Macaca mulatta: one gene and its partner. The protein of the gene in region 2 interacts with the protein of the main gene of each other region in a pairwise test. Links are inferred from orthologs where the notes say so. Each region holds a gene or a part of one and is shown on either strand. Other genes may lie near its edges.

Region 1 (3,648 bases), on a different chromosome or scaffold from region 2:
GAAATGCTGAAAGCATTCCCCCTGACAACTGGAACAAGAAATGGATGCTCACTCTCACCAATTCTATTCAACATGGTACTGGAAGTCCTAGCCAGAGCAATCAGACAAGAAAAAGAAATAAAGGGCATCTAAACTGGTAAAGAAGAAGTCAAACTGTCATTGTTTACAGATTATATGATTGTATACCTAGAAAACCCTAAAGACTCCCCCAAAAACTTCTAGAACTGATAAATGAATTAAGCAAAGCTTCAGGATACAAAATTAATGTGCACAAATCAATAGCTCTGTTATATACCAACAGTGACCAAGCTGAGAATCAAATCAAGAACTCAACCCCTTTTGCAATAGCTGTAAAAAATAAAATAAATACTTAAGGATATACCTAACCAAGAAGGTGAAAGAACTCTACAAGGAAAACTACAAAACATTGCTGAAAGAAGTTATAGATGACACAAACAAATGGAAACACATCCCATGCTCATGGATGTATAGAATCAATATTTTGAAAATGACCATACTGCCAAAAGCAATCTGTAAATTCAATGCAATTGTTATCAAAATACCATCATCATTCTTGACAGAACTAGAAAAAAAAAATCCTAAAATTTACATGGAACCAAAAAAGAGCCTGCAAAGCCAAAACAAGACGAAGCAAAAAGAGCAAACCTGGAAGCATCACATTATCTGACTTCAGACTATACTACAAGGCCATAGTCACTGAAACAGCAAGGTACTGGTACAAAAATAGGCACATAGACGAATGGAACAGGATAGATAACACAGAAATAAAGCCAGATACTTACAAACAAAAAAAAAGTGGGAAAAATGACACTCTAGTCAACAAATGGTGCTGGGATAATTGGCAAGTCACATGTAGAAGAATGAATGTGGATCCTTATCTCTGTCCTTATACAAAAATCAACTCAAGATGGATCAAAGACTTAAATCTAAGACCTGAAACCACAAAAGTTTCTAGAAGATAACATCAGGAAAACCCTTCTAGATATTGGCTTAGGGAAAGACTTCCTGACTAAGAACCCAAAATCAAATGAAACAAAAACAAAGATAAATAGATAGGATTTAATCAAACGAAAAGCTTCTGCACAGCAAAAGAAACACTCAACAGAGTAAACAGACAACTCACAGAGCAGGAGAAAATATTTGCAATTTCTAAATCTAACAAAGGACAAATATCCAGAATCTACAAGGAACTCAAACAAATCAGCAAGAAAAAGCAATCCCATCAAAAAGTAGGCTAGGGACATCAATAAAAACTCTCAAAAGAAGATATATAGATGGTCAACAAACATATGAAAAAAATACTCAACATCACTAATGATCAAGGGAATGCAAATCAAAATCACAATGTGATGCCACCTTACTTCTGCAAGAATGGCCATAACCAAAAAAAAAAACAAATAACAGTAGATGTTGGTGTGGATGTGGTAAAAAGGGAATGCTTTCATGCTGTTGGTGGGAATGTAAACTAGTACAACCACTTTGGAAAACAGTGTGGAGATTCCTTAAAGAACTAACAGTAGAACTACCTTTTGATCCAGCAATCCCACTACCGGGTATCTTCCCAGAGGAAGTCATTATATGAAAAAGATACTTGCACATGCATGTTTATAGCAGCACAATTCACAATTGCAAAAATATGGAACCAGCTCAAATCCCCATCAATCAACGAGTGGATAAAGAAATTGTGAGATAGATAGATAGATAGATAGATAGATAGATAGATAGATAGATAGATAGACAGACCATGGAACCATAAAAAGGAATGAAATAATGGCATTCCTAGCTGCCTGGATGGAACTGCAGACCATTATTCCACGTGAAGTAACTCAGGAATGTAAAACCAAAAATCGTATGTTCTCACCCATAAGTGGGAGCTAAGCTATGAGAATGCAAAGGAATAAGAATGATACAATGGACTTTGGGGACTCGGGGAAAAGGTGGGATGGGGGTGAAGGATAAAAGACTATACAATGAGTAGTGTACTCTGCCTGTTGATGGGTGCAACAAACTCTCAGAAATCACCACTAAAGAACTTACTCATGTAATCAAACACTTCCTGTTCCTTACAAACCTCTTGAAATAAATCCATCAATCAATAATAAAAGAGCAATAAATTACTCAGATGAAACATTTTATTAACTGTTCTATTATTAACTGTTCTGTTCTGTTGATGTTGATCAACAGAGTTTCAGAAGTAGAAAAGATCAGCAGTATGACCTGGGGTAAAAAGAAAAGATATACACTACATCAGGCTTCAAACTCTGCAGCCAAGGATGAGGAGAAAGGAGTGAATTCAGAGTGAGCACAAAGGAGTAACATATGTTTTACTGAAATAAGAGTATCCAGATTCCATCAAAGATAGTACATTGAAACCAGTGTGAAGTAAAACTGAGTAGTGTTTAAATAATCAAGGCAAATGTTTTAAATAAAAAAAATCAAAGACCAACCTTTAACATCAAGTAATAAAATAATAAATACAACAAAGTAAATATGTTTTAACTTGCAGCTTAATATGTCATTCATAACACATCACGGATACTTCAATTTACCTTTGATGTCCCTTTAGTAGAAAAATATAAACCAGATCTTCTTAGAAAAAAGTAAATTTTTTTCCAAGACTTCTTTCCCTGTTCTTTCGCATGTAAGAAACCATGAATTTCAGGGTATGTGCTTGAACTCAGAAACATCTGAAAGAAAATTTACATATTTTCAAAGTATGATTAAATCAATGATATGGTAACCTTATACTAATCATATTAAGATTTCAAATATAAACATGTAAAAATCACACAGGATCATAACATGTAACATTACGGTAATTAACTATGTGTGTGTGTTTTGATAGTCCTTGGTGTCTCTCTCTCTCCTTCTCTCTCTCTCTCTCTCTCTTTCTATCTCTGTGTGTGTATACACACACACATACACACACAGAAAATAAATCAGAGTCTTTTAAAAACCTGAGATGTTTCAAATGAAAATGAGTTCACAAAATAGACATTCTAAGTGATAGTATGTAGTTATCTAACTACCAAAATTATCAGCTAATTGAATGTCCATTCAAAAAGTTGGACGTCATCTACAGCGTTAAGTCCTGATATACTTTTCATTGTTTTCTGTGGTTTTCCCTGAGATTACAGGTTGACCTATTAACTTCATTATGTTATAAGTAAGACCACAATCCTGACTTCAATTGGGAAGCAGGAAGTTGAGCCAAGCTCACCTCCTTGAGGAGGATAAAGCAAATAAAACTATCTCTTCTTTGTCATCTATGGTTCTCAGCTGTGGGTGAATGTGGTAGGTCACGTTTTCCAAAGAGGACTGCAACAATGTCTTCCATTCCACATGCTCTTCTGCAATGTCATCTTGTCACTGAATCACAAAAAGGTGGAGTCTTTCTCCACTCTCTTGAATGTGAGCAAGCCTGTCATTGCTTTGACCCATACAATATGTGGAAGGGACCCTTTGCCAGTTCTAGGTGTAGTCCTTAACTAGCCTGGTGCTTTTCATGACTTGGCCCTTGGAATCCAGCTGTCACATAAGAAATGTGACTACCCTGAGACCATCACAGGTAAGAAGCCCAATGCAACTGGAAGAGCCCTGCAGGATGAGACACCATGAGACAGACAG
Region 2 (4,412 bases):
CCCGGGGATGGGGGTGATTAACCAGACCAAGGCGCGTCCCACGGGGCCCTGCTACTTCGCTTTTAAACAAGCCTCAGGGAGGAAACCGGGAGCCCGGGCCAAGGGAGGAAAATGGCCACTTTCTGCTAAACAGTCTCAAGGCTAGATAGTATTCCAAAAAAAGCCCTGGTCCGGAGGTGCAAAGGGTAGGGCACATCTGCGGAGGAAACAGTCACCTTAATTACCACGTCTAGAGAAAGTGCGATTTCATTACAGCCTCCAAAACTACCGCCCAAAGAAGGAAACCAGAGAAGTGTTTTCAATCTGAGAGAGGCTGGAAAGAAGAGGGTGAGAGAGACTGACTCTCTCCACCCTCCCGCAACTTTGGACCACAAGGCGCTTTCCTGCCTCAAAGACTATTACCAAACACAACTGGACAATCCAACCCCCCGCTTTCAAACCTGTAGCCGTTACTTAAATGGTAAAACGCCCCACTTTAGTTTCCGGGGGATGCGTCCCAAATCAGTCCTTAAAAACACACAGGGAGCGCCTCTGGCAGCAGTCGCCCACGCCCCCGGCCCAGCGCACCGGGCTCGCTCCGGGAGGGGCGCGTGACGCCACCGAGGGGCGGCCGAGAGGGGACCGCGGGCTCCGGGCAGGGCAGGCGCTCTCGCAGCTCCAGCTATAACACAAGGGAGAGAAAGCAACGCTTTGGTTCCAGAAACTTCCATCGTCAAGGCCAGTTCTGGCCAGACGCACAGCCAAAGAGCCTCCCCTAGTCTAGCGGATGAACCGTTCGCGAATGCCACCCCCTAAAACCTTGGACCCATCTCCCAAGATGCCTCTTTTCTGCGCAATCCAGAAAGCACCCCGACCGCCGCCACCCACTAGCGGCGGCGAACAACTAACTTAGTGAGATCTTCGATAACTCGGGATCCAAGGGAACTTTCTTTTCTCAACGCCGCATCTCCATGTCTCCAGAAATGTTAAGGAGGGAGGTGGTCAAGACGAGTTGAAGAATCCGAGTTTCAATTTGGGGGAGGGGGAGGGGAGGAAGAGGGAAGTTAATAACGCGGCTGCGGTGTACCCGTGTGGGGTGAAACGGAACCAGATGCGGCTGTTACATCTGGAAAATGGGGGTGGGGGAGGGCTGGGGGAGAAAGACATCGTGGTAATGTTTTTCAAACGGGTTGATAGCTTCTGGGACCAGAACAAGAAACACGCTTCACACCCCCCGCCCCACCACCACCAAAAAAGTGTCTGGCTGCTTCATAGGGGGCGTGTGTTCTATATGAACCCCATCTACAAGGTCCACAAATTCCTCTGCAAACATGGGTCGTAGCCTCCCTTTTCTCCCAACCCTAAACATAACGGGAGGGGAAGCGGGGTGCAGAGGGGTCTGGGCCAGAGAAGCCTACGCATCGCTGCCGAGTGAACCGCACCGGACAAAAACCTCATCCCTTCCCCCACCTCCAGGAACGAGATTGGGACGGAACGGCCCTCCCGCCCCCGTCCCATACCTCGGCTTAACGACTGTGGGTCGTCCTCCCGTTCCCCAAACTTCCGACCCTCTCAGAGACCGTCCAAGTCATAAGATCACCCCTTCTGGAAAGCGGAGTCGTTTTTCGCTCTCAGCTCAAGCAGATTCAGCCATTTGGTGACGACACCTCCTTAAAGCCTATTCCAAGAGAAGCTAACCTAGCCCTCCACGTCCTCTGCAGTTCATCCCCTACTCCATTCGCCCACAACCCGGACCCCAGGTTTAGCGGGGATGGAAAAGGACTGAGGAATGTCCTGGATTTTTAGCGTTGAGCCCAAAGCTACCTGCTGAATTGGGGGTGAATCCCCAAAAGGGGACCAAAAAGAGATGGAGTGGAATGCAACACACACACAACACACACACAACGCACCCCACCTCGCCGCCCACTCCCGCCCTCCTCCCCAGTCCAGGAAACCGCGGGCCTCGCCGCTTTCGCCCCGGGCCTGTCCTTCCCAGGACTCACCGAGGAGCCGCCGCCGCCTCGCCAGCTCCCGAGCGCGAGTTGGCGGAAAAGTTGGGCAGCGGGAAGAGCGGCGGGACGAGCGTAGGGAGGGGGCGCAGAAGGAGACGCGGGCGGAGGGAAGGGAGGAGAGACCCAAGGGGGGCGCGGATCGCCCGGGAGGGAGCCGGGAGGTGGAGGGGGCGGGCGGCGAGCGGAGGGAGGCGCCGGTCCCGGCTGGGCTGCGGCGGGCAAAGCGCGCAGCCGGGAGGCTCCGGCGCCGGGGGCCGCTCGGGACGCCAAGCCAGCCCCGGATCCGGGGGCGCCGCGACTCTTACCTCGCTCGGCGTGGAGGTTCCGCCTCGGGAAAGTCCGCCGTGGCTTGCGCGAGCGGGCGTGTGCCCGCGTCCCCGGCTCCGGCCCGCCGCCCCCGGGCTCTTTTCGGGTCCTGGCGGGGTCGCGAGAGCTCCGCGGCCGGCGCTCGACTCCCGGCGGCGCTCGGTGCTCGGCGCCTCCAGCCCGGGCGGGAACAATGGAGCCGGAGCTGATGCCCCGGAGGCGGGGCGGGGGGAGGGCTCCCGTCCGCCGCCCGGGGTCTCCAGACCTTGTGCCCCTCTTTTCCAGACCGCGGCGGCGGCGTCTCACGCTCCTTGCAGACCGGGCTCCATCGTTCCGCGGAGGCCCCGGCGCCGCGGCGTGCCCGACTGCAGCACGGGTACCGTGCGCCCTGTGGGGCGCCCCGAGCTCGGACGGGAGAAAGTCCTCGGGTTCCGCGGCTTTTCGAGCAGCTGCGCGCTCGCGGCCGGGGAAGGCGAGGTCGCCGCAATGCGCTACGCGGAGTCTCGGTCCCGTCCGGACGTGGCCCTGCTGCCGGCACAGCCCGGGTTCCTCCGCGCGCTACGGCTGCACCAGCGTCCCGGCTCCCGCTCACTGCCGCCCGCCGCCGAGGACGCCGCGCCTGTGGCCGAAGGAGCGCTCCGAGCGCTGTGCGCCGGCGAGGCGCGAGGGCTCGCCCTCTCACTCCCACCGGCGCTGGTCCCTCCTCCGCCTCCGCCCCCTGCCGCTGCCTGCTGGGCCTTGTAGTTCTCCAGCCGCGGCCCCAGAGGAGGGGGAGCCGGCCGAGCGGGCCGAGCTGTCCGGCGCTCTGCCCTTCTCTTCCTGCAGCCTGGTCTCCTTTGGCGCTTGCGCCCCTGCATCTGAGCGCGTCCCAGAGGGCGCCGGAATGTCAGGCCCTAGACATAGCTGCAGTTTGGGGGGGTGTGGGGGACAGGTGAAGAGACGCCGCAGCCTTGAGATTGTACCTGGTAGCGTGGACTTTGGAGTCTGTGCACCTTGGGGAATGATTTTCGCGTTCTAAATCTCGGTTTTCCCATCTGTGAAAGGGGGATAATAGTGCTTTTTCGTATAGAGTCGAGAGGTCAACGAGGGCCTGGCGCATAGTTAACACCTAGTAAATACAAGCTGGTTTTATTATGAGAAGGTCAGCCCCTCCTCACACCCTTCCATTGGATCTCCGCTTTCCCCAGCCACATAATTTAGGTTTTGTGCTCCACCGGGAACTGGACCCTGTAAATTCTACAGCAATGTTGTTGGTCTTCAGAAGTCTCCAGCCTGAAGTGAACGTCTAGGAAGCAAAGAGTAAGTGGGAGTTGAGGGGAGAGGTGTGGTTGGTTTGGAAATTAATCACAGCCCACTCAGAACACCCTCCAGTACTGTGGAACTCAGGAAAGTGGCTAAATTCTTCCCCCTGAGTCTTGCCGCGGGGTGGTATAATGTAGTGGTTTCCTAATCCAGATGGACACGGGTCCTCCAGGGAACGTCTGAAAAATACAAATTCATGGGCCTGCTCAGACATGAGGAATCAGGCTGTCCCAAGAAGGAGCCAAAAGCCTGTATTTTTTCCAAGTCTCCGTGGGGCCTGTGATGTGAAAGCCCAGGCTGAGGCCACCGTTGGGGTGGGAAGTAGGCAGCACTAGGTCTGAAGGATTCCTCCATTCTGTCCATCATTTGTGAAGTTTGATGTACGACAAATCTTGTATCTGATAAAATCAAAACAGCAGTATCTGTTGATACTCCTTCACAAGATGATCGTAAGAATCAAATAAAATGATAGCTCTCCGTGGACCAAAAATACTACACAAATAGAAGTCACTATGTAAGTTAGTGGCAGGGCCTGTTCACCTCATCCCCAAAACTTGTAGAAGTTTGAATACTGAATGAGTTACCCCCACCCAACTCCTCACCCACCCCACCCACGCCTCCCTGGCTAATTTAAGAAAAGAGTTGGGGGAGGGGGGCGGTGGCTCACACCTGTAATTGCAGCACTTTGGGAAGCTGAGGCAGGTGGATCACGAGGTCAGGAGATCAAGACTATCCTTGCCAACAAGGTGAAACCCCGCCTCTACTAAAATACAAAGAAATTAGCCAGGCATGGTGGCGCTCGCCTGTAATCCC

The links.
Region 1: the proteins of FGFR1 (region 2) and GRB14 interact in a two-hybrid assay, tested with the Homo sapiens proteins (2 studies listed by BioGRID, with this or other methods). The link is inferred for Macaca mulatta from reciprocal best matches to the Homo sapiens genes FGFR1 and GRB14.

What each region holds. Positions count from the first base shown.
Region 1 is NC_133417.1:69,443,872-69,447,519, forward strand, and holds part of GRB14 (growth factor receptor-bound protein 14), read right to left. Parts: intron 2,709-3,648; coding exon 2,571-2,708; intron 1-2,570. UniProt on the Homo sapiens protein: Adapter protein which modulates coupling of cell surface receptor kinases with specific signaling pathways. Binds to, and suppresses signals from, the activated insulin receptor (INSR). Potent inhibitor of insulin-stimulated MAPK3 phosphorylation.
Region 2 is NC_133413.1:40,411,114-40,415,525, forward strand, and holds the start of FGFR1 (fibroblast growth factor receptor 1 precursor), read right to left. Parts: upstream 2,917-4,412; 5' UTR 2,297-2,916; exon of another isoform or gene 1,500-2,296; intron 1,015-1,499; exon of another isoform or gene 889-1,014; intron 1-888. UniProt on the Homo sapiens protein: Tyrosine-protein kinase that acts as a cell-surface receptor for fibroblast growth factors and plays an essential role in the regulation of embryonic development, cell proliferation, differentiation and migration.